4 linked regions of the Drosophila melanogaster genome follow. Changing the gene in region 3 together with the main gene of any one other region gives a genetic interaction. Each region holds a gene or a part of one and is shown on either strand. Other genes may lie near its edges.

What was found.
Region 1: of hh (region 3) and dpp, changing one suppresses a phenotype caused by changing the other (phenotypic suppression), as found in Drosophila melanogaster (2 studies listed by BioGRID).
Region 2: of hh (region 3) and smo, changing one enhances a phenotype caused by changing the other (phenotypic enhancement), as found in Drosophila melanogaster (2 studies listed by BioGRID).
Region 4: of hh (region 3) and Gprk2, changing one enhances a phenotype caused by changing the other (phenotypic enhancement), as found in Drosophila melanogaster (one study listed by BioGRID).

What each region holds. Positions count from the first base shown.
Region 1 is NT_033779.5:2,426,066-2,431,705, forward strand, and holds the start of dpp (decapentaplegic), read left to right. Parts: upstream 1-2,306; 5' UTR 2,307-2,985; intron 2,986-5,640. UniProt on the Drosophila melanogaster protein: Required during oogenesis for eggshell patterning and dorsal/ventral patterning of the embryo.
Region 2 is NT_033779.5:275,338-282,994, forward strand, and holds smo (smoothened), read left to right. Parts: upstream 1-2,244; 5' UTR 2,245-2,488; coding exon 2,489-2,526; exon of another isoform or gene 2,527-2,592; coding exon 2,593-2,986; intron 2,987-3,305; coding exon 3,306-3,787; intron 3,788-3,847; coding exon 3,848-4,468; intron 4,469-4,532; coding exon 4,533-4,703; intron 4,704-4,772; coding exon 4,773-6,177; 3' UTR 6,178-6,830; downstream 6,831-7,657. Other genes in the region: CG17078 (uncharacterized protein), read right to left, coding at 1-1,160, 1,402-1,566, 1,622-1,805; CG11601 (uncharacterized protein), read right to left, coding at 6,835-7,168, 7,317-7,657. UniProt on the Drosophila melanogaster protein: Segment polarity protein required for correct patterning of every segment. G protein-coupled receptor which associates with the patched protein (ptc) to transduce the hedgehog (hh) signal through the activation of an inhibitory G-protein.
Region 3 is NT_033777.3:23,138,778-23,144,304, reverse strand, and holds the start of hh (hedgehog), read left to right. Parts: upstream 1-2,398; 5' UTR 2,399-2,783; coding exon 2,784-3,263; intron 3,264-5,527.
Region 4 is NT_033777.3:31,403,011-31,408,459, reverse strand, and holds the start of Gprk2 (G protein-coupled receptor kinase 2), read right to left. Parts: upstream 3,216-5,449; 5' UTR 2,504-3,215; intron 1-2,503. Other genes in the region: PNPase (polynucleotide phosphorylase), read left to right, coding at 3,903-4,048, 4,105-4,524, 4,585-5,449. UniProt on the Drosophila melanogaster protein: Specifically phosphorylates the activated forms of G protein-coupled receptors. Required during oogenesis and embryogenesis; component of a signaling pathway that functions during egg chamber maturation.

The sequences.
Region 1 (5,640 bases), on a different chromosome or scaffold from region 3:
AGCCAAGTTCTCAACAAGTGCCTCCTCCTGTTCTACAAGTTTTTGCCCCTCCACTCCGATTTTTTTCATTTTTTGCGCCTGTTGCTGCTGCTGCTGGTGCCACTCTAAGGAATTTCCATTTTATTTACATTTAGAATGTGCCGAACGGACTCGTCGCATGTAAAGCGGGCCAAATCGAAAGCTATTAGACCTATTAGCATATCGGGCTGGAACATGGCAAATTTAGTGGCAACATTGTTGCCTCCGCGATAAACGCACTAAAAATCAAGTCTTCACCTTTATTACCGCATCGAAGTGCCAGCGTTATGGCAATTCGAAAAAGAATAGGAAGCGATCGTTACTTATAGAAAATATAGATAAATAAATGTGCAAAACGCCAATCGATTGGCGTACATTTCATGGCGTTTACCTGATTGTTGTGGCCAGCCCACAGTTAACTTAATTGCCACTTCCCAAGCGCTTTATTTACGGAAATACTGACGGCTAAGCGACTATTTTACACGCAGAGAAATGAAGTGCAATTTAGCTAATCAGGTAATAGGCAGGCATTTTTACAAAGTGCGTACTTGTTTCCCATAATCTTTCGTTATGTTGTAAGGATGTTATTCCTTACTTTACAACATTTTCATTACATAATGGAATTGTAATTGATTTGAATATCTATATTTCTCTGGGTGCATCGACTGTGTGAAAGTGTTGTCAATGCTGCCGCTTGGCCATAGCCTACAATCGCGATTGGCTGATCGAGTTGGAAAGGAAAATAGCAAGAAATCATAATAACAACAACTAAAATTTTCCATAACCTTAAAAAATAGAAAAAAAATGAGGCAGCTATTTATAAAATGCGCAATCTGCGAGATGCGTGCGGCAATCTGTCCGTCGGTCCGCCGATGCCGCCAGCTGTGTGCCAAGATGCCGCTGGCCCCCCGAAGTCCCCTCTGTGGAGCCCCCGTTGGATCCCCCCTTGGAGCCCCCCGCCGCACTGCGCTGTGTTGTCTGCGTTTATTGATTTATTAGAAAATTCCAATGAACAAGTTTTAATACACGACACACGGCGAACGATGAAGTCGATGTTGTCAGCGTGCTTGTTGTGCTTTTTCTGCTCCTTGGCTGCTTGTTTTGTTGCACTTGTGTTCCTGAGGCAAGCACAATATACGGGAAGAAAGGCTGTGGGAAAGAGACAGAACAGCCGCTGGTAAAAGTAACAAGTGCAATATTTTAATTACATCAGCGGCAAGAACAACAACCAGATCAGCGGCATCAATTGAGTTTGCTGCATGGATTTTGGGCAGCTAGCGTTGCCAGATGGGCACACGAGGCGTATGATTGATATGGTGAGTAAGGCTTGGGGAATCATAGTATCAAGGCCTAAATAACAAATAAAACATTTTGAAGGACAAACAAAATTTTTAAAAATATTAAATAGATCGATGAGTCAAACGGAGCTCATGTGTGTGTTATCTGCAGAGCCTGACTTTTGTGCTTCGATTTCATTAAACTCTCACTTTGGCATATCTCAAAACGATCTAGCTCCTATAACTCGAACAAGCCGAACAATCCGGCAACGCCGATCGACTCGAAAGATTGTCTGCTCGGGACTCTAAGCATTTTGCAATCAATTTAGATTTGCATTAGCAGCGCTGCAGTCTCGAGAAGTCCGCGACTTAGTCCGAGATTTAGAGCCAAAAATAAACCGAACCAGTTGCGGCAGCGCCGAAAAGTCAAATGTGTAACAGCTCTGTGGCTTTGGCTCGAAGAGAGACTTGAAGAAAGTCAAGATATCGCAGCTGAGACAGAAGACAGAAGACTGAACACTAAAGACTGAGGACCGAAGACTCTGTGTTGACTGTAGACTGTGGACCGGAGACTGTGGACTGAAGACGGCGACTGAGAGAGCTGAAATATTGTAATTGTGAGTCTGGCTTGTTTGTTATTGTTGCCTTAGCGGTTGCTTGTTGTTTTTTTGGCTTGATTAATAATTAATCGCACTCGCACACACACACACACACACACATACTGCCTGTTTTAATTACTCAACTTAAATGGCGCTTTGAGCGACTTAAGCAACTTGCCATCGTGGTCGGCAGTGTGTGTGCGATTGACTCTCACTACTACGAGCTCAAAACTAACTAACTAGCTTGTGTTGCTGTTGCTGCTTGTGTTGCTGTTGCTGCTGTGCTGTGCTTTGCTTTGATGTTGCTGTTGCTGCTGCTCGGCTCTGCTTCTGCTTTTGCTTTTGCTGCTCCGTCTCCGGATCGCTTTTGCCTGCCTGCCTGTTTGCCTTGCCTCGGCCGCTTTGGACGCTCATTCAGTTTTTTGCGCTCAACGCTCGTTGTACGGAACCGAAAAACGCGTTCGTTCGTCCACAGAGTGTCGCCAAATCGAGGCGAAAGATCGCTGGTTACAACCGAATATACAGCCTCTAATCACTTTTTTTCTGCTCTGTAATCGTTCGCGGTTTCTGCGGCCATAAAATAAAGTAAATCCGAGTTAAACGCTGATAGTCGCGCCTGAAGAACCACAGAAAAAACAGAAAATATCTCCCGTCGTTTCTCGTTCTCGTTTCCGCGATCGCTCGTCAGCCAGCCAAAGCCTCTCCGATTTTTGATACCGATTCGGTATCAGATAATATATTCGTAACCATCGCCATTCTTGCGAGTGTGCCAGTGTGAGTGAGTGATGTGTCTGTGTGCCAAATCCAAATCGAAAATAGCCAAAGTCTGAGCTTGGCCACCATCGTCAGCAGCAAACATGTGAAGTGCCAGTGATTTCCATAAGCCAAAATCGAAGTCGAAGTCGAATCGAATCGAATCGAAGCCACAGCGAGATAGATAGGTCGAAAGTATTTGAGTGGATATCCGAGTCGAACCAGTGTATAATGTATGCGACGTTCGCGAACTGCCAGAATTGGTTGTTGTTGCAGTTGCAGCCAAAGGATTTGTGGATTTTGGAGCGTAACTGAGCGGCGTGCAGCAGGTGCACCAGGTAAGCCAAGCCGAGAGTGTTAGCAAATAATGCGCATACGCCATGGTGGCTGCGTGTCCAATTCGAGATCAATCGAATCAATTGAACGGCTGTTAAACAGCTGACTGGGAAAACTGGAACTGGGTGCAATGCGTGAGTCACATACACATATACATATGAATACAATGCATATAGACTGGCTGATTACTTATGTATATAAATGTGAAAGAAATAAATACATGTAACTCAGAAGTCAGTGGATTATTTCTGAAACAATAGCAATTGCAGTATATTATGTTCATTTTCTTCAGAGACTTTAGCACTGTTTAGATTTCTAATGATAAACTTTGCAACCATTTCACTTTTATGCATTTACATTTATGAAGACACCTAAAAAATCTATATTACTATGAGGAAATCTAGTTTGCTTTAATAAGTTTGCCAATAGATAAGTCCCTTCCGCCAACTTGATATCACTGCATAAAGTTTCGACAGATTTACGCCAGTATCCGGGGAAAAAGTGAAATTCTATCTCTGGACCCCGGACATTATCAGCAGAGACATGTGGAGATCGGGTGTCACTTGCATATTCATGGGGGCCAAGTGATGAACTGAATTAACGGCATTCCACACCAGTCACAATTAGCGGCTGACACTGACATTGGCCATGGTAAAAAACCCTTTGACCATATGCCATATACTCGTTAATTTATGACGCCATTTGGCTAATTGAATAATTATATGTGACTGGCTGGGCGTGGCTGGGCAGGGCTTGCTTCGCTTAGCTTTGCTTTGGTTTGGTTTGATCGATCACGATTGCATAAGCCATCCCACATGGGATCGGAATCAGCATCGAAATCTGAATCTAAATCTTAATCGGTATCTATATCGATTTATTCGATTTGCCTTGCTAATGCGACTGGGGGCACTAAATCAGTGTCAAAGTTCACCCCACTAGGCTCAATTAGTTTATTAACTGCGATTTGCATTTGCATTCGCAGGGCGCAGCAAGCCCGTTGGTTAGGTGGGAAATTGATAGCTTCGAAATGTGCAAAGGTACAGAAATAAAGCCCGATAACAAAACTAAGCAACCGCAGCAGCAGCAGCAGCATCAGCTACATAGAAGCAACACATCAGCAAGACAGAGCAGCAATATAATGAGATATAGCTACACAGATATAGCAACAGCTGACGATGAGACCATGAAGGTCTACCACTTTCGGAAATTCGACGAAAATGAAATAAAAATCGTGAGCACGCAATGAAGCAGCCAAGTTGAAGTTGGCTTCCACTTCCATGCCATCCCATCACCATCTCCATCTCAATCTTCATCTTGGCCTGGCAAATCACGTTGCTGATAACAACAACTGAGCAATGCGGCAATAATTTGCTGCCCATGCCCGCTTCGCCCCGCTCTCGGCCAAGTTAAGTGGCTACTGGTCATCAGCAGGCAGCAACAACTGGCTTAGGCCAACATTTTTATCAAAAGTGGTGGCATTAGCAACCGCATCCCCCCCGTTGGCCGCCGAAAGAAACTGGTCAGTCTCTGGAGGCTTGAGACTCCCAATAGTTTCACTTATTTTACACGCATTTCTTAACGATAAATAAATTCCACAAGCAGATGCGGCCAGCAACAGCGGCAACAACAACTTGGCCCGGTCAGCAACAACTTTTGCTATCACGTTTCCATGCAAACAACACACAGCCACAAAAATATTTCCATTGGTATTCGCTTGTACTTGAATTGCCCCACGAAAGATTGTGGGGGGGGGGAGGGTGTTCGAACAAGAGGCTGCAGCAGGTGGCAACTGCAACTGCAACTAATGCTTCAGGTGCTTTTGGCCCGGACTTTGCACCTCAGTCTACCGTTTGGGCCATTCCGATGCCAGATTTCCGCCTGATGTGGCGCCTCAAGGCAGCCGAGAACGATATCCGATATCGCTGGCTGCTGCTCGATGGGTTTATGGTTTATGGGATACACCTTGACTGGAAAACCAATTGGATTGCACAAGAAGTGTGATTTGATAGGTGCAAACTTAAATTATAATTATGTGTTATTATATCATAATCATAGCAAGAAACGCTAGCTAACAATTCCAATATGTATCAATATTCTGACTATGTCAACTATCTAATAATATTAGTTTACATTTTTATTTAAAAGTCGAGCGAGCCCAGCTCAATCACCTGCTAAACTTCTATGCTAAACGAAGATGAATGAACTTAGCTTCAAGGTGGCCAAACGAAACGACACGATTTGGCAACGATCTTCTGTCTTCTGTCTGTCAAATCGAGAACTGATCAATTTTGCTTTTTATTTTATAAATTCTCTCTCGAAAATATATTGTATAAGGTCATCTTCTTCGAGAACCCGACCATACTGGTTTTTTTTTCGGTCCAGAAGATGCCAAGCGCCGTAGTTTCACTCGGCGTTCAACGCGGCGTATGCCTAATATGCGAACTTGAGTTACTTTTCCAATTCACTTTTGCCCCGGCCTTTCTCGCCGCCCCGGCGATTCGCCCAAATAACGCCATCGGTATCGGTATCAATTTCAATTTCGCAGATATACATTTATTGCATATGATTTATCATGTCTGACACTTGGGCCAGACCACTTGTCAAATGGGAAATAGCCACGACAACATGCTGTGATTTTAGATAAATTCATAACTCAG
Region 2 (7,657 bases), on a different chromosome or scaffold from region 3:
GGCGTTTGTGGGATTCGTGCTTTGCAGTGATTCCTTGCTAAGGGAACTGTTCTCGAGGTGCTTGAAAATGTAGTCGGGATCCTCATTAAAATAGTACGCTATGCCACGCAGGAAATTAGCGTTGGTCTCGTCCAAAGAGCTGATCTTCTTGTTCTTTGAACTCTTAAAGAACCTGAAAAAGCGATCCTTTTCGGTAGCCAAGCGCTTCTCTAGAGCCCGGGGATCGATGGACATAAGCAGCTCAAAGTGCTGGTACAGCACAGCCTTGTCAAAAATATATGGCCAATTGTCCTTAATGGCCGTTATATCTGGGATCTTTTCGCTGTTATTAAAAAAGGAGCGCTGCAACGGAAAGCACTCTTTCATATATTCGATTATGACGGACTGTTCCAGTGGGGAACTGCCTCGGTAGCTGGAGATTAGTAACTCCTTTTTGTGCTCCAGATCCCTGTTAAGAGCCAGCGATTTTGCATCACCATTGGAAGCACCACCTCCGAATTTTCGTTTTTTATTAGGGATGTGGATCTCAAAGGTTCCCGAGCTGCCGCGTTTCTGGGGTTTGTTTAGGGCATTGTTACGGTTGATCATCTTGGATATGAGCGATTGCGGAGTGGTGGCTATAAACTGTCCCTCGCGGTCTTTTTCGAGTAAGGAGTCGGGGTACTTTTCAGCCGCCTGTTGGGCGACCTGCCGGAAAATCCGTATGGGAATGTGGGCGGATATTTCACGGAGAGCCTCCACCAAAACATTCGCAAGTGTATTCAACCGCTTGCCCAAACTCCCCTTTCCCTTTAGTAGTTTCATTATGTCCCCAGGCACCTTGCTCCAGGGTATCGAGAACTCCTTGAATAGAGCAGAACTCTTTGCACTTGATGGCGTTACGCTGGACAGTGACATGGTTTCGTCATTAGAGACCGTCGAATCGTTCGGGTTCGACACAATACTGTTGTTGGCATAGAAGCTGGGATCCACCGAGCTGCCGGCGCGTTCGGATCGGTTGAGGGGCGATGGCGGAGGAAGCACCACATACTCCTCCGACTCGGCGAGGAGCATCAACAGAATCTTCTCCTTGGCAGCGAACAAGAGCACGTCGTCCTCGCAGATCTCGCAGCCGTTGCTCTCCAGGACAATTGTGTTGCCGCACAGGCCGTATTTGTGAGCTACCGAATACAAATATATTATTGATATAAATTAAATAAAATATGTACAATTATTTAATTTCTATCCTAGATAAATATATCACCCATTGATCAAATTTATATTTTTAAATGCAGAAATGCTCTAAGCTTAAACCCAATAGATTCTTATTAAAGACTGTCTACTGGTTAATAACTTCCAACTGGGCAACGTTCATTCGGAATACTGGATGAATAGATACCCAATTCGTCGGACGTTCCTTACCTTTGTCGATTACATCCTTTCGAGTGGGCAACGACATGAAGGTCTTCTTGATCTTGCGATCGGCGCTGCATATGGTAATCAATACTTTGTCAGCCAGCTCGGTCTTCGGCTTGCCCTCGTCGTCGTCCTTCTGGCTAGCATCAGTGGAATGTGTCGGCTCTACGGCTAAAAGGTAAACGTTAACCAGGAAACTAGACTAGCTTCGAGCAAGTTTGCTAACCGGGGGCTTTCTCACCGCAGCTCTCTGGCTTTTTCGCTCCTCCTGTTTGTACACCATTTTCGATTGTTGTTGCCTTTGCGAGTGCGACCGGCGCTTGGTTTGCATTTTGATTCGGACTGATCGGCGCCTGCTGGGTGCTATGATCGCCGCCGGAACTGGCGGGCGGTGCGGGGGCAACGTCCATGGCTTCTATTTGCGTTTGCGCGACTCCAACCAAGCCCTGTTATCCGTGTTTTTGGACCGTGCCGTGAAATAATATTGCAGAATAGGGATGTAAAAACTACATCGATGCTTGGTGCGCTACTATCGCGGTGTTATCGATACTCCGCACCCAGTGTGACCGTCGAGCGCATGGCATAAATAAATAAGCCAGCGGCCAGCATTGCCATATAGTCAAAATGTTGCGGGGAACACCTTTTTCGTTTGCTGATGCATTTCTACATATGATCATATTTCTTATTTTATGTTGATGTTATCTTATGTTACGATCGAACAAAATAAATCCGATTTGTTTGCATATCATTCGACTTGTTGCAGCTATGACCGATAATAACCGATGCCGACCGATAACATGCAAATCTCGCTGACCGATAACATGGGTATATTTAAACTGGCCCTGAATGGTCGCACATTTGTTGCTTCAGCTTCACGTTGAGTCGCGTTTATTTTTGTTTTCCTCCTTGGTTCTTGTTTTTTTTTTCTCTTTTTTAAAAACACTGCAATCCTTCAAAGGGAACAATTAAACCAGGATATCCCGAGTCCAACGAAAGCGCCTTCACGATGCACTGACGAACCGCTGAGCAAGAAACGGGCATTCAGCCCATTAAAATTCACACAAGGCAGCTATTTAATGATTTTTATAAGCGGATGCAGTACTTAAACTTTCCGCGCATGCCAAACATTATGTGAGTGACTCGCCTCTGGCAAATGGTGTGGGCAATTAAAATAACTTGGTTATTTACAAACCGCAGGATGTTCCTGGAGGTTGCGATCTTATGCCTGTGGGTGGTCGCAGACGCATCGGCCAGTTCGGCCAAGTTCGGCAGCACAACGCCCGCAAGTGCGCAGCAGTCGGATGTGGAACTGGAGCCCATCAATGGGACTCTCAATTACCGACTGTACGCCAAGAAGGGCAGGGACGACAAACCCTGGTTTGATGGCCTAGACAGCAGGCACATCCAGTGTGTCCGACGTGCCCGTTGCTACCCCACCTCGAACGCAACCAACACCTGTTTCGGCTCAAAATTGCCCTATGAGCTGAGCAGCCTAGATCTCACCGACTTCCACACCGAAAAGGAGCTGAACGATAAGCTGAACGACTACTATGCCCTGAAGCACGTGCCCAAATGTTGGGCAGCTATACAGGTGAGGAATCTTAATAACATCTAATGTACCTAATGATTTCAAAAGGTGGGGCCGAGTCTGTATGAAAATACAGATTGTCGCATTATTTTCTGATAAGGAGGTGCATTAGAAACAAGTTAAGCGCACAACTGTGATTACTTAATTACGCTTTGTGTTCAAGCAGTGAAAGTAATATGTGAATTGCTTTATCTTGGGAAGATTCAGATATATATACATATTCAGTTGTGGCTCAAGGTTTTCTGTAGATATTATAGTATTTCAAATCCATTTCTTCAATATTCCGGATTAGCTCAACACACCCATTTTTACATGTTTATAGCCCTTTTTGTGCGCCGTCTTTAAGCCGAAGTGTGAAAAAATCAACGGCGAGGACATGGTCTACCTGCCATCTTACGAGATGTGCCGAATTACCATGGAACCCTGTCGCATTTTGTACAACACGACGTTTTTCCCAAAATTCCTTCGCTGCAACGAAACACTCTTTCCGACGAAATGCACAAACGGAGCACGAGGAATGAAATTCAACGGAACTGGCCAGTGTTTAAGTCCTTTGGTTCCGACAGATACGTCAGCCAGCTATTATCCTGGCATCGAGGGCTGCGGCGTGCGATGCAAGGATCCACTCTATACCGATGATGAGCATCGGCAGATCCACAAACTGATCGGATGGGCTGGCAGCATATGTCTTCTGTCTAACCTTTTCGTGGTGTCCACCTTCTTCATCGACTGGAAGAATGCCAACAAGTATCCGGCAGTAATTGTGTTCTACATAAATCTTTGCTTTCTAATTGCTTGCGTCGGGTAAGTTTTGAGCACTATTTTGCATTTGTATTCTTAATCAACCACGTATTTACTATGCAGCTGGTTGCTTCAGTTTACTTCTGGCTCGCGAGAGGACATAGTATGTCGTAAGGATGGAACACTTCGCCACTCAGAGCCTACAGCCGGTGAAAATCTTTCTTGCATAGTGATCTTTGTGCTGGTCTATTATTTTCTCACCGCTGGAATGGTTTGGTTTGTGTTCCTCACCTACGCCTGGCATTGGAGGGCCATGGGCCACGTCCAAGATCGGATAGATAAGAAAGGTTCCTACTTTCACCTCGTGGCGTGGTCACTACCCCTTGTGCTTACCATTACCACGATGGCTTTCAGTGAGGTGGATGGAAATAGTATTGTGGGCATCTGCTTCGTAGGCTATATCAATCATTCTATGAGGGCAGGACTACTTCTTGGTCCGCTCTGCGGGGTCATCCTCATTGGTGGATACTTCATCACCCGCGGCATGGTGATGCTTTTTGGACTGAAACACTTCGCTAATGACATTAAATCAACTTCGGCGAGCAACAAAATCCATTTGATCATCATGCGCATGGGAGTCTGTGCTCTGCTCACTTTAGTTTTCATACTAGTGGCCATTGCGTGCCACGTTACGGAGTTTAGGCATGCAGACGAATGGGCCCAGAGCTTCAGACAGTTTATAATGTAAGTGTAAATACTCGTTTATAACTTTTTCCATACGCCTCAACTAGATAATTCTTTTGTTTAGCTGCAAAATTTCTTCAGTTTTTGAAGAAAAGAGTTCCTGTCGAATTGAAAACCGACCTAGTGTTGGCGTTCTTCAATTGCATTTGCTGTGTCTATTTAGCTCTGGAATCGTAATGTCCACCTGGTGCTGGACACCTTCTTCAATTGAGACTTGGAAGCGTTATATAAGGAAGTATGTTTTACCATCCTACCAAAAGTTGCATTAAAGTTATCTGTACTATCGATTTTATAACCTTTGCAGAAAGTGTGGCAAAGAGGTGGTCGAAGAAGTGAAAATGCCGAAGCACAAGGTCATTGCCCAGACATGGGCCAAGCGCAAGGATTTCGAGGACAAGGGCAGGCTCTCCATAACGCTCTACAACACCCACACAGATCCCGTGGGGCTCAACTTCGATGTGAACGATCTGAACTCTTCTGAGACGAATGACATCTCATCAACTTGGGCTGCATACCTCCCGCAGTGCGTAAAACGTCGCATGGCTTTGACGGGAGCAGCGACAGGTAACTCGTCAAGCCATGGACCGCGAAAAAATTCATTGGATTCCGAGATAAGTGTGAGTGTTCGACATGTTTCCGTTGAATCCCGCAGAAATTCGGTGGACTCGCAGGTATCAGTGAAAATAGCTGAAATGAAGACCAAAGTGGCGTCCAGATCAAGGGGAAAACACGGAGGCTCTTCCAGCAACAGAAGAACCCAAAGGAGAAGGGATTATATAGCAGCTGCCACTGGAAAAAGCAGTAGGAGAAGGGAAAGCAGTACTTCAGTGGAGTCGCAGGTCATCGCGCTCAAGAAAACGACCTATCCCAATGCTAGTCACAAAGTGGGCGTGTTTGCTCATCACAGCTCCAAGAAACAACACAATTACACCAGCTCCATGAAGCGAAGGACTGCTAATGCCGGATTGGATCCCTCTATTCTTAATGAATTCCTGCAGAAAAATGGCGATTTTATATTCCCATTCCTCCAAAATCAAGATATGAGCTCTAGTTCGGAGGAGGATAATTCCAGAGCATCCCAAAAGATTCAGGATCTTAACGTGGTTGTAAAGCAGCAGGAAATAAGTGAGGATGATCACGACGGAATAAAGATTGAAGAACTGCCAAATAGCAAACAGGTGGCATTGGAGAACTTTCTTAAAAACATAAAAAAATCTAATGAATCCAATTCTAACCGACATTCCCGAAATTCCGCAAGAAGTCAGTCAAAAAAGTCCCAAAAGAGACATCTCAAGAACCCTGCTGCTGATCTAGATTTCAGGAAGGACTGTGTAAAGTATCGGTCTAATGACTCACTTAGCTGCTCCTCTGAAGAGCTGGATGTGGCTTTGGACGTAGGAAGCCTTCTTAACAGCTCTTTTTCTGGAATATCCATGGGCAAACCACATAGTAGAAACAGCAAAACCAGCTGCGATGTGGGCATACAGGCTAATCCTTTCGAGCTAGTTCCCAGTTACGGAGAAGACGAACTGCAGCAGGCCATGCGACTCCTAAACGCAGCCAGCAGACAAAGAACTGAAGCAGCCAATGAGGATTTCGGAGGAACGGAGCTGCAGGGCTTGTTGGGTCATTCCCATCGGCATCAAAGGGAGCCCACGTTTATGAGCGAGTCGGACAAACTCAAAATGTTATTGCTGCCTTCAAAATAGCAAGACTAAATAAGCAATTGATGCATTTACTTAAGGTTCAAAAACTCTTACAATATTGTAGTTTTTGTTCTAAGAAATCAAATTGTTAGCGCTGAAAATAATCGTACAATCTTATCTATTTTACGAAATCGTAATATTGTTATGTTCACTGTTCAACGATTTATAAGAATATATCGCTTCACTAGAATTGGAAACCCAAATGATATTTAAAACAAACAAATACGAAATTGTAGTACACAAGCCAGAGCAGTTTACATGCGATGAACATTTAGATTCTTCTTAATCGATTACTGGAACAGACTGAGCGAAACTAGAACTACGAATTACGAATACTCATAGTCATTAGGCTGCAACTTTATTTTACAGATTCATCACCCCATCTAGCTTGTAAGCATTCGAATCTCTGTGTACGTTTGTGAATGACTGTTTCCTTAATCCTGGTACTCACGCCAAAGTAAATGCCAAAGAGGATAATAATTTATTTTCATTATTTTTCTTTGCCGTGGGTACAGGACTTTAGATTGTAGATTATAGATTTAAGTACGATATAAATAAGCCTCTTGGGCACACAAATCGTACCTCAGAAAGTGCCTTCAAGTTTACAAAATTATACATAATAATTTGTGTAACTAATAAACGATTTTAAATCCTCGAGTCCTAGCCTTGCTTTAATTTCTGTTGATTTAGGAGCTTAAACTCCGGACCCCAAACGACGTTGTTGGCGAACTCCCCGAGCAGATAGCAAACCAGGTTGAACCCCACAAGTAGTGCCAAGAACACGTAGCGCAGGTATGCGGGCAGCACTTCCAGAATGGGATACACCCACTCGCCACTGAAGTAGCGAACAATGTGCAGCCAGATGATGTAAAGCAGGATGAAGGAGACGTTGCCCGTGATGCCTGCCAATCGACTCGGATAGCGGCGGAAGCAGGTAAACAGGTCCATAATGGCCAAAAGGGCCACATTCGTGTGTACCACGTGATTCAACCAGCTGCAAATATTGAGAAACACAGGTAAATCAAAACTCGCCTCGCCTGATGAACAGAAAGTTTAGACAGGCTCGAAACAAAAGAGACTCCAGCAGACTAACATTGTGCATTGTACGCAAGTTAAACCGGCGGAAAAACATAAACACTTGCCTGGGGAAAATCGCATCCAGCGCTGAGGGAAAGATGAGCTCACGGTCCCACACGTAGATGACCCAAAACGAGAGGCAGACATTGTGGGCGACAGGAAAGGCAAAGGCGGCGAACACATAGTCCCTCACCGATCGCAACATGGATTTTGAATCCCCGGAGACATTGTTATCGCCGAAGAGATCGTTCAGCAGAGCCAATGAGTGGTAGATGGCCTGTAGAATGACGTCCAAGAAGGTAAGGTACTTGAACTTGCCGCCCCACCGCGCCTTCAGTTCATCCTCGTCTAGCAAATCCGTGGGCCAATGCACCCGGAAGTAGTGAAAGTATATCCCATACGAAAA
Region 3 (5,527 bases):
TTCCGGTATGTCTATTTGGAGGATCTAGCACACGGCAAAAATATTAATCTTAACTTGGTAGATGAGTAATTCAAGTGTCACATCTTTTCGTTGATCATATAGTTTCTCAACATCAAATTTCGAAGAATGGTAATTGTATTCATTTTTTTTTTTAATGTTTTGACATTAAGAACTGCTTTTTTACATTTTTCACCGTGCAGCATTACAGGTTGCCATTAAAATTCAATTTCGACTTATAGCTGTTGTCCCATTAATATTCACATAAATCAAAGCTGGACCAAATCTAATTACAGAAACTAATCTGCGGCTTTTTATCTCGAAGGGCCTGGAAAGGCATTTTTTGTTAGTTTATTTATTTAGTGTTCTTTTTTTTTTGTTTTAACTCTTTTCTGTATTTTTTGTGAGCCGTTTCGGCTAAGAGCGCGATCTATATGATCGTGATTATGAGGACCGCTGGCCGTCTCGCTTGCTCCACGGTCTGCGATGCCATTTATTCATGCTCATTAAGTGCTGGAGCGATTGTTGTTTGCCCATGGGCCCGGGATGGTCTTCGCATCTGTATCTGGCTTGTTCACGGTGTGTTGTGTGTTCATTCACAAATGAGCGCCTTAAGCAGCTCCGCCCCACAGATACAGATACAGATACAGATGCGGAGGCCCAAAGACACATTCGAAACTCACACAGATACACACAGCGACGAACGTAATGAGTTCGGTGCGCACACAAAGAAGGCAGAAATTTATGTGGCAGCCACATAGACTCTCGCACACACACTCGAATGCCCGATGGCCCAGCATCCAAGACTCGTATATTCCATACCCCCTTCCATTTCAGCTTCTTCATCTTTAATTTGGTTCCGTGTATCTTGTTGATGGCGTTTTGCCTTCTCTTATATCTTTTGCCGCCACGACCAGCTATTGTATTTCTCCTCTTTCGATTCGTTTTATTTTTTTTCTTCGATTCATTTCGTTTTTTGTCGAAATTATTATGCTATGCCTTGCATTCCAGAGCGTTACCAAAAAAAAAAAAAATGCTATGCCCCCCCATGGAATCCGTTACATGAGCAGGTGCACCTTGGCCCTTGGTTCTACCCCGTTGGAAAGTGACAATTTCTTGGGCACACATTGACGGGCGTATTCCACAATTCGCGCTTGCCAAGTGACAGTGCAAATAGACCTGGTGCAACCGCAAAAAAATAAATAAGGTCTGGAAAAAGAGCCAAAACAAAAGATTAGCGCTTGCCACAGATCCAAGTTCTGAAAGTGCGAAAAAGCTAAAAAGTTAAATTGGAGATTTCCCAGTTGTGGGGAATTTTATATTAGCCAAAGTCAACAGAGATAAAACTGGAAATTTATTGATTTCCAGAGTGCGGCATCAATCCGCAACTTAGTTATTTGCTGTGCATAAATATAAGGTACCTAATTGCAAATTGTATTTGCCAAAATCGTTATCGGTTTTTGCAATATATATAGACATATTTGCGATTATTGACATGGCGTTGAACGGAACCTCTGGCGGAGAAGGAAATTGTTAAATTGACCAGTAATTTGTAGGTCCTAAGGCGATATCTAATCGGAACATGACCACTACCTGAGGGGCATATGAATGACTCACTGGGTGACATAAGCTCGGAGCCTTCGATGATCATAAAGTACTTTAGTTTTAAGCACTTTTTCCGTTCCTTGAAGACTGGCAAACGGAAGCAGCATTGAACCCATATGTACTCCACATATCATACCATATACAATATACATATATATGTATGTATATATATAAGGCTGCCCAGGAGTCACACAATACACAAAAAACCGGAACATTATTAATTTACAAGCAATAAAGCGAAACGAACAACAAAACGAAGAAAGGCAACGGAAAAAAGTGAACAATGGCCTGCGATGGAGGAGTTGCAGGGCCAGAAGCGGCTAACAAGCCACAAGACTCGAGTCGAGTCGAGTCCGAGTAGTGCAAGTGTTAAGAGAAATTGCAGTTGCAGTCGAGGATGCTGCAGCTCTTCTGCGCCAGCAACGCACACTATCACACATCCAATTGGCAACAGGCACACACTTTCATCCATGGCCATAATGGACCGCAGCACACTATGCCAATGCCATCCAACATCTGTTGCCAACATTGCTTGTACATAAGAGCCGAAGACTCAGGCACTAACACATGCAAACCAGTCTTGTGAGTATGCTGCATCATCTGGTTGTCCCGCTTCCACTTCCCTTGCGCATAAGGCAGCATAAAAATGAACACCACAGCCGATCGAACGTCGAGTGGCATACGCATACAATCACAACGCGGAATGAACTCGAGGCGATAGTGTGTGTGTGCGTGTGTGTTTGTGTGAGCTAAAAGGCCTAGGGTTCTTGAAAGCACCCTCGTCGTACTCGTACTTATACTCGCATTCGTATTCGCTGCCGTACTCGTACTCGCACTCGAACACTCTGCGCGCACGATACTCCGCTCGGAAATGTCATTTGTCAATCACAGTGCGAGCGCAACGGTTGTCCGAACCGAGAGCTAACTGCCAGTTCAGCGGAGAACAGTTAAGACCGTAGTTAAGTCAGTTAGGACCTGCGATTTCGCCGACTCAAGTATTTCGATTTAGCCAGTTTAAATCCAAATAATACCATAAATCTGAATAACAAACGTGTCGCCAAATAAGCGTGTCTGTGTGCCAAAAGTGAAGTGCTAAATAACCAAAAAAATAAATAAAAAAAATTAAAGGAGATACAAAATCCAATCAAGAGAAACAGCAAACAACGAGTCTTAGATAAATCATGGATAACCACAGCTCAGTGCCTTGGGCCAGTGCCGCCAGTGTCACCTGTCTCTCCCTGGATGCCAAATGCCACAGTTCCAGTTCCAGTTCCAGCTCCAAATCCGCAGCGAGCTCCATCTCCGCAATCCCGCAAGAAGAAACGCAAACGATGCGCCACATTGCGCATACGCAGCGTTGCCTCAGCAGGCTGACCTCTCTGGTGGCCCTGCTGCTGATCGTCTTGCCGATGGTCTTTAGCCCGGCTCACAGCTGCGGTCCTGGCCGAGGATTGGGTCGTCATAGGGCGCGCAACCTGTATCCGCTGGTCCTCAAGCAGACAATTCCCAATCTATCCGAGTACACGAACAGCGCCTCCGGACCTCTGGAGGGTGTGATCCGTCGGGACTCGCCCAAATTCAAGGACCTCGTGCCCAACTACAACAGGGACATCCTTTTCCGCGACGAGGAAGGCACCGGAGCGGATCGCTTGATGAGCAAGGTAAGGAAAACCCTCAAACACCGTAAGCTAGTAACAAAATTTGTAATACATCATTGGGAAAGTTTCGCTTATCGGAATCATTGTGACAAAGTGACTTAAAAATTATTTGTAAAAACCGAAATATTGACTTATTAATCACGATTAATCAGAAATTACTTAACATTTAGTATTGTTAGCAACACAAATGAAGTGAAAACCCAGTCTTACGCCAAATAAATGACTAATTCTAGGAAAAAATGTGAGATAACTCTACCAAACGGAACTTGTAATGCTTTAATAGTACACTTAATATTTGGTCTAGGTATTATTTTGTGATAAAAGTAAGCCTACTTTGATATAGGAACACAATGAAATGCCTGTTAAATCTGAGGTATGGAGGTCAAACACACCATTTAGATGAGATTTTATTGCTGATATTGTTCCGAATTCGTCTTCTATATCAGACAGCTGGGTTCCGATTTGCGGCTAGGCTAATTCCGTGCTTATTGCGCACTGCACTCACATTTTGCCACCCGTCGTGGTCCGTAAATTCAATTGTCAAATTAGCGATCGCTTATCGCTCGCGCTGTTTTATAGCCCGTATCTAGCGATCGCCCGATGGCACGAGATTGTGCCACTCGGTTCCCATTGATAAACGCTACGTGGCGGAAAAGTGCCCAATCATTGATCGAGCATTGGCTATTTCACCAACTTTATGGTGGCGATGGCTGCCATAAAACTGGGCTGAAATATAGTATTAGTTTTGAGCATTGGCCATTTATATGATTAATTATGCATCTTATCGCCGCACTGCACTTGTTTCGCAAGTGCAAAAAAACAGGAAGCCCGATACTCGACGGCTGAACGGTAGATAGCGCCTGAATTCCATCGAACTAAGCCATAAAGCTGCAAAGCGTCCCGAAATCCAAACAAACCGAGCGAACGCGTTCAACAACCTCGAGCCCAATCGATCCCCGGGTCATCATTGCAAATACATAGTTTACTCAACATTGTGTGTACGCTTCGCAAATGCGTTTTCGATTTCGCGCTGAACAACAAACAGGGTATCGAATGCGGGAGATTACAAGTCCCGGTATTTATCAGGTTTTACTCAGCCAAAACCACCGCCCACCGCCCACCGCCCACCCTGTCCGCGCCCCAAAAGTGGAGGCACGCGAGCATTTGCCGCTTATCACCGGCGATTGTCTGATAAGCGGACTGCAGCCAAGTAGTTCGTTTGCCAATACACGGTTACTATCCCCCCAGATAGTCACCCTATATTTGCCAACATGTGTAGCTACATGCTGGCACTGAAAGAAATTGGGTTCGCTTGGCATAATACTATATGCTTGCCACTTTATGGTTTATGCTAAAAGAGGTATATGATGGTTTTTATGTGTGAAATAAAATGTGAAAATTAGTTTAGGTGCAAGTTATACGTTATACGTTATACGTTGCTAGTTGCGCTATATCGGTGCCAGAACAAAATGTGTGCTAAGATACCAGCTAAGGCGAAGAACAGCAGTATCTTATCGCCATAAAAAAAAAGGGGCGGGGGTAGTGAAAGTGGAGTGGGTGGCGGTGGGATGACCACCCAGTTGGTGGGGGAGCGGTGGTTGAGTTTCAAAGTGCGAAACAGCTAAAACAAGTGTTCAATTCAAGCACCATGCGACAACATTTCCAATTAGCCAGCAGTTAGTGGGGTGGTTGCGTTGCGGCCAGAAGTCGGCTTAGCACAGTCAAGACCCCCTAAGAGGGCCGACATTGAAGTTGCTGATATATATAATCGGCACGCTTCCCACCAGCTTATCTTCGTGTTACTTTAATGAAATTTTAAGTGTCGATGTGTAAAAATAGCCTTGTTATTGATTAGCGCCATAAACGAGCTATTGGGCTTTTATGGCGGACTTCCAGTTTCCTTGGACGATTTGGTGCTATTGAACAACAAACTAATAATCAGAATTGTGGGAAGACAGATTACGCCTGCCAACCGACTAATATAGTTGATTTAAAGGGTTTAGTATCGCCCACACAAGTGTTACAATGACTTTCGATTTGTTGATTTATTAGTCAGTGGTTAGTGTTTCGCAAAAACGACTTAGATCTTTAAAAATCAGATTTTACTGTACTGTAAAGTTAAATCGTATTATCGAACCAGTTGTTCGCCTGCTAGAGTTTCACTTGAAAACCAATTCCAAATTGCATTTGGCAACTGCCACGCGCCCATCGGGGGATTCTAAATGGTTGCAGCCATTTCAGATGTTACCTTGAATTTGATATGCAAT
Region 4 (5,449 bases), 8.3 Mb from region 3:
GGCAGATGCCTTTTCATCTATTAGAAATGAAAAGGAAAGGAACCATCATTAAGTGGCTTTTCACTCGAAGTGATTCGATTAAATTTGCATGCCCTCCGGAGATTTCGTTTGGCAACTAATGAGCCCTCCATGTGCCATCCGCCCATTGCCACTGATCCTACCCATCCCTCTTTCACTTTTCCGACATATTCCGCAAAACTTTTCTCACATTTCACTCCAACTTTTCCCACACGCACAAGGAACTCGAACTGCAAGTTCTAATTGAATTTAGTTTTATTAGGGCACATGAAAGGAAAACACAGGGCCTGGAAAAATGGAAACATTGGGAGCGCTTTCAGTTTTCATTGGCTGCCAAAGGGTGAGGAAATCTGGTTTTCTTAAGGGCAAGGCAAATCCCATATTCTCAATCAAGGAAGGCAGGATTAATTAGATTGAACGAGAAGGGAACCTTAGAGCCTCTTTGTAAAGCCCAAAGTCACAAGAAAAACAGGCACCGAAGTTGGTAAGCCGATTTTGGACCAAAAACCAGCAAGTGAACAAAAGGCGGCGACCACAAAAAATTGATTTAAGCTGATTTTCGGGCCATTTGTGTTTTTCGTTTTCTGTTGTTTTTTTTTTTCTTCTAGAGACCAACAATATTGACCGACGACCACGCCCAGTTCGGGCGGCGTGAGGGGCGTGCGGCGCAATTAATATCAATTCCCGTTGGGCCATTAACACGAGCCAAAAACATATTGGCTAACAAGTGTCAAAGTCGCGCCAAATTAGCGCAGAAGGCGACGATGATGGCATGTGGGCGTGGTCGGGATTGGAATTGGAATTGGGAAGTTCAGTGGGCTGGGTCCAAGTGCTGGCAATGATATCCTGCCAAGGGAAGAGCAGCATGTGGCCAACCCTCCTTCGCGCTCGAACTGGCGTTCGTTGTTTGGGTCCTGCCCTCATTGATAATAATATTCGATTGGGTTTTATTTGCCCATGGGGTTGGCGCTGATGGTTTATTGTTGTCTGCACGGGGCCCAGGATACCCAGGATACACATGTTTCTGCCAATTGCCTACGTCATCCTGTCGGAATGGGTTGCGGGTTCTCGGGACTCACAGCTCGCAGCTCGCAACTCGAGTCGATAAACTGTGACGCAAGCCCTCGAAACATGGAAACAATAGTTGCGACCTGACAGTTGAAAAGGGCACCCCATGGGGTCACACATCAGAGATCTTGGACTTTAACAATCACCATCTGTGTACCAGAGTAGAGGTCTTCTGTGAATGGCACATTGACTCCCATCCGCCGATGAAAAGTGGAAACGTTTATCAGCTAAACGTCCAGCTCGTCTTAATTATGCAGCCGGCGAGGCGATTCTCAAACAATCAGAGACACCCGGCTGCCGATGACGTACCACAGAAAAAAGAACTCGAAATGCAGAAGCGATAAGGAAAGTACATCGGGACATTGCGAGGGTCGCCCTTGAAAAGCGGGGGAAAGTTACGCTTTTGGGGAAAAACTATTTTTAACGACTCGCATTTGTCAGCTGCAAATGGAAACGGGAATTTATTGCCAGGCAATCACGCTGATTTATGGTGATTTCAAAATGGTTTCACTAATTGGTTTGCGTTCTTTTCCAATGTTCGTGCTATAAAAATACAGATTTTGAGTTCGAGTACCGCAAATAGTTTTCTGTTAATTTTGGAAATAGGTTTCATGAATTATGGGGAATTTTCCTGTGCATCACATCTCTGATGTTATTCCGACATTTTGCATAAAACGTACAGTATTTTGGAAGTAGTGTGCAAGTGATTAATAAATAAATATCTTGAATTAATGTTTATATCAGCTCTGAAAACTTTACGTAAATATAAAATGTATGATTTTAGAAGTCAAAATAATCAGTGAACACGCATGGCAGTGAGTCATCACTATTGTGAATGCCCAATATATTTTTGTGTGAGCAATAGATGTTACTTCCGGATATCTTGGTAAATGCAAAAATAACAAGCTGACTTATGTCTACTAAGTCATTGATAAATTGTCAGAGGTTAACTAAAAAATAAACAAATTATTAATGATCCAACAATTCCACCGATTATCTCGATAACTTTTCATTTATTTACCAACCTGCCCTCTTTAGCGGGTCAAATGATGGACGGGAACAGCGAGACAATAAATAATGAGCTATAAATATTCATATAGTGCATTGTTGGGCTGATTGCTTGCATGTGTGCATCTGTGCATGGGTATTTATGCATTTAAAAAGCAAAGAAGGAGGACCTACTGATAAGCATTTCCCGATTGCTTTCACTTTTTAATCGATTGGCGTGGGGTGACAGGGATGGCGCGAGTCCTGCGGCATTAATGCAATTAATCGCCAGGAGAGACAAGGCCAACGTGTGTGTAATTTACAGTTACCGTTAAGTGCTTAAGTGCAAAGGAGGGGAACAGCCAGTGAGTTGTGACCACCGAGGAGCAGTAGAAAATAAGGTGATTTCAAGCTGATTAATGAGACTTACCTGTTTGTTTGATGTGCTATTTAAAGCTTCACTGTGAGTTTCGGCTGGTTGGAATTTTCGCAACAAATGTGTGGGTTCTGATAAGAAAGCGGGCGTTGATAAGACGCTTTTCCTTCTCTCTCTCTCTACCACTCCTTTCGCACACCACTGCAATTGCAGCATAAACAATTTGAAAGAACAAGAAGAAGCAGCGACACGCCTAGTGGGCAATTTTCCGGCCTTTTCGTTGGGAAATCTGCGTTTTTTTGGCTTTGCGCTCTTTTTTGACTTTGCCTTTTGGCTTTGCGCAAGAATACTCTTTGATTTTTTGTTTTTCTTTTCAATTTGACCGCATTTGTCGATTTTGGTTTTCTTTTCGGTTGTTGTTGCGGCTCTCACCAAAATTCACACACACAGGCGCGCTCTCACACATGCACAGATGGGCGGGCACACAGAACACACACACGCACACTACGACACACGCGGCGTTTCGTTGACGGAAAAGATACGAAAAATACGGCGTGAAATTCCCAGCTTTTTTCGAAAAGGCTCGCAAAACAAGGGCTCGACGCTCTTGCGGTTTTCCGGTTGGAGGAGTGGCTTTTCTAAGACGACACACGACGACGTTCGCAACTGGGCTTTCTGCAAGTGCCCAAAATTAACGATGGATCCGCGAATTGCCTGCTCGAAAAATATTGGAGTCTTCTGTAAGACCGTCGTTGAGTTAGTGAAAGACGTCTTCGACTCGCGGTAAAAAACTCTAAACGCGTAAAAAGACGGACTAATTTTGGCGGACTGTGTAGTGCTGATGCCTCAGCTATTTTCTAGCTAGCTTGAATTACTTAGATCTGGCGATTTGGACATCGTCGCGTCATTCTGTTGGTCGTTTTAGGACCTTTCAGAACATACCGTCTTAATTCTTCGTTTCTGAAAAGGAATTTAAATGCTGTTTCTTGCATGCTGTAACTAACATTGCTAAGAGTTGGCAGCACTGCAAATTTGACATTATCGGGGACACAAGCTAATAGTTCATTTTCTGGGAACCCTTCTAAATATCTTATTGGAAACGAAATTAATTTTTTTAAAATACGCTGTATTAATATTTACTACATTATTCCTAAGACATAATCCGTGTAATAGTTTGTCTATATAATTCATTTGTTGTTACCCTTGCCAGGTGGCAACGCCGAACGCACACATGTTGCACACTCTACTTTGTTTTAAATGGGCATTCTAGTTTTGAGATAACTGAATTAAACAATACAAATAGTTGAGGCGCTCTAAGTCTAACTTCCAAGTCTCAAGAAACGTACAGGGCTTTTATTGTAAGATTTTGACCACTAATTATTTCTTAAATAACCATGAAAATACAGCGTACAGAACTGTCGCCTCAGCCGGAATCACCCGGCACTTTTAGGTAATGGCCATGATTTTCACACGGAAATCGCTGAAGCTGCTCAACTATCGCCTCAAATGCCTAAGTTTGTCCTGCCCAGGAGGAAGGAGAGGAATCCAAAGCAGTTCCAACGGAGAAGCGCCCTCCGTGGAAGTCAACTTCAGCAATGGGTGAGTTCGTGGCCTCCACTCCGAGTTCCAATAGCAAAGTCTTGAATCCTCCGCAGACGTAACATGACCTTCAGTTCCGGCCGCCTGGCGAGATTTGCGAATGGAACAGCTGTGTGCCAAATGGGCGATACCGCCGTCATGGTCACCGCGGTGGCCAAGGCGAAGCCAAATCCCGGCCAGGGATTCATGCCTCTGGTGGTTGACTACCGACTGAAAAACGCCGCCTCTGGCAGAATACCCATGAACTTTATGCGCCGCGAACTGGGCCCCTCGGAAAAAGAGATCCTGTCCGCCCGCCTTATCGACCGTTCGCTACGCCCGCTCTTCCACAAAGATTATCGCACGGAGACACAGCTGGTGTGCAACATGTTGGCTATGGACGCGGTGCACAGTCCGGATGTGCTTGCAATCAATGCCGCTTCCATGGCGCTATCTCTAAGTGACATTCCCTGGAATGGACCCATTGGAGCTGTGCGGTGAGTACTCACGAACGAATCTAACTGGTAACCGCTTATAACTCTTTTAATCCTACAAAGCGTTGGCCTCTGCGACGGCGAGGTGCTGATCAACCCCACGCGCCGGGAGCTGCAGACTTCGCAACTGGATTTGGTAGTCTCCGCCACCAAACAAAACCTCGTCGTTATGTTGGAGGGCAAGGGGAATGTGGTTCTTCAGCAGGACCTTCTAAAGGCTATCAAACAAGGGACTCGTGAGGCCCAATTCATTATCCACGAGATCGAGCGACTGCAGAAGGCCTATGGTCGACAGAAGCGCGAAGTGGAAGTGGCTGCCGAAGTAGATCCCGAACTGGGGAAAGCCGTTCGTAGCATGTGCGAAATGCGGCTGAGAGAGATCTTCCAGGATTCGACGCACGACAAGATGTCTCGTGACAATGCGGTTAACGAGGTGCGCTCCAACGTTATTGACAAGGTGTGGAGTTCGTTTCCGGATACCGAACCGTCGCTTATTACCGAGCAGTTCAACCAGACCAGTAGAACCATTTTTCGCGAACTGATCTTTGAGCGGGGTCTGCGTTGCGATGGACGAGATTACGACCAGCTGAGGAACATCTCCTGCCAGGTGGACATGTACAAGCCTCTCCACGGATCCGCCCTATTCCAGCGCGGTCAGACGCAGGTCTTCTGCACGGTTAGCTTGGACTCGCAGGAAAGCGCAATGAAACTTGACTCGTTGGCTGCTTTAGATAGCGGTGGCCTGAAGGCCAAGAACTTTATGCTGCACTATGAGTTCCCGCCCTATGCCACGGGTGAAGTGGGTCGGATTGGTCCAGTGGGTCGCCGGGAAATGGGCCACGGAGCCTTGGCGGAGAGATCGTTGCTTCCCACCCTGCCGAATGATTATCCCTTTACCGTAAGACTCACCTCTGAAGTCCTGGAATCC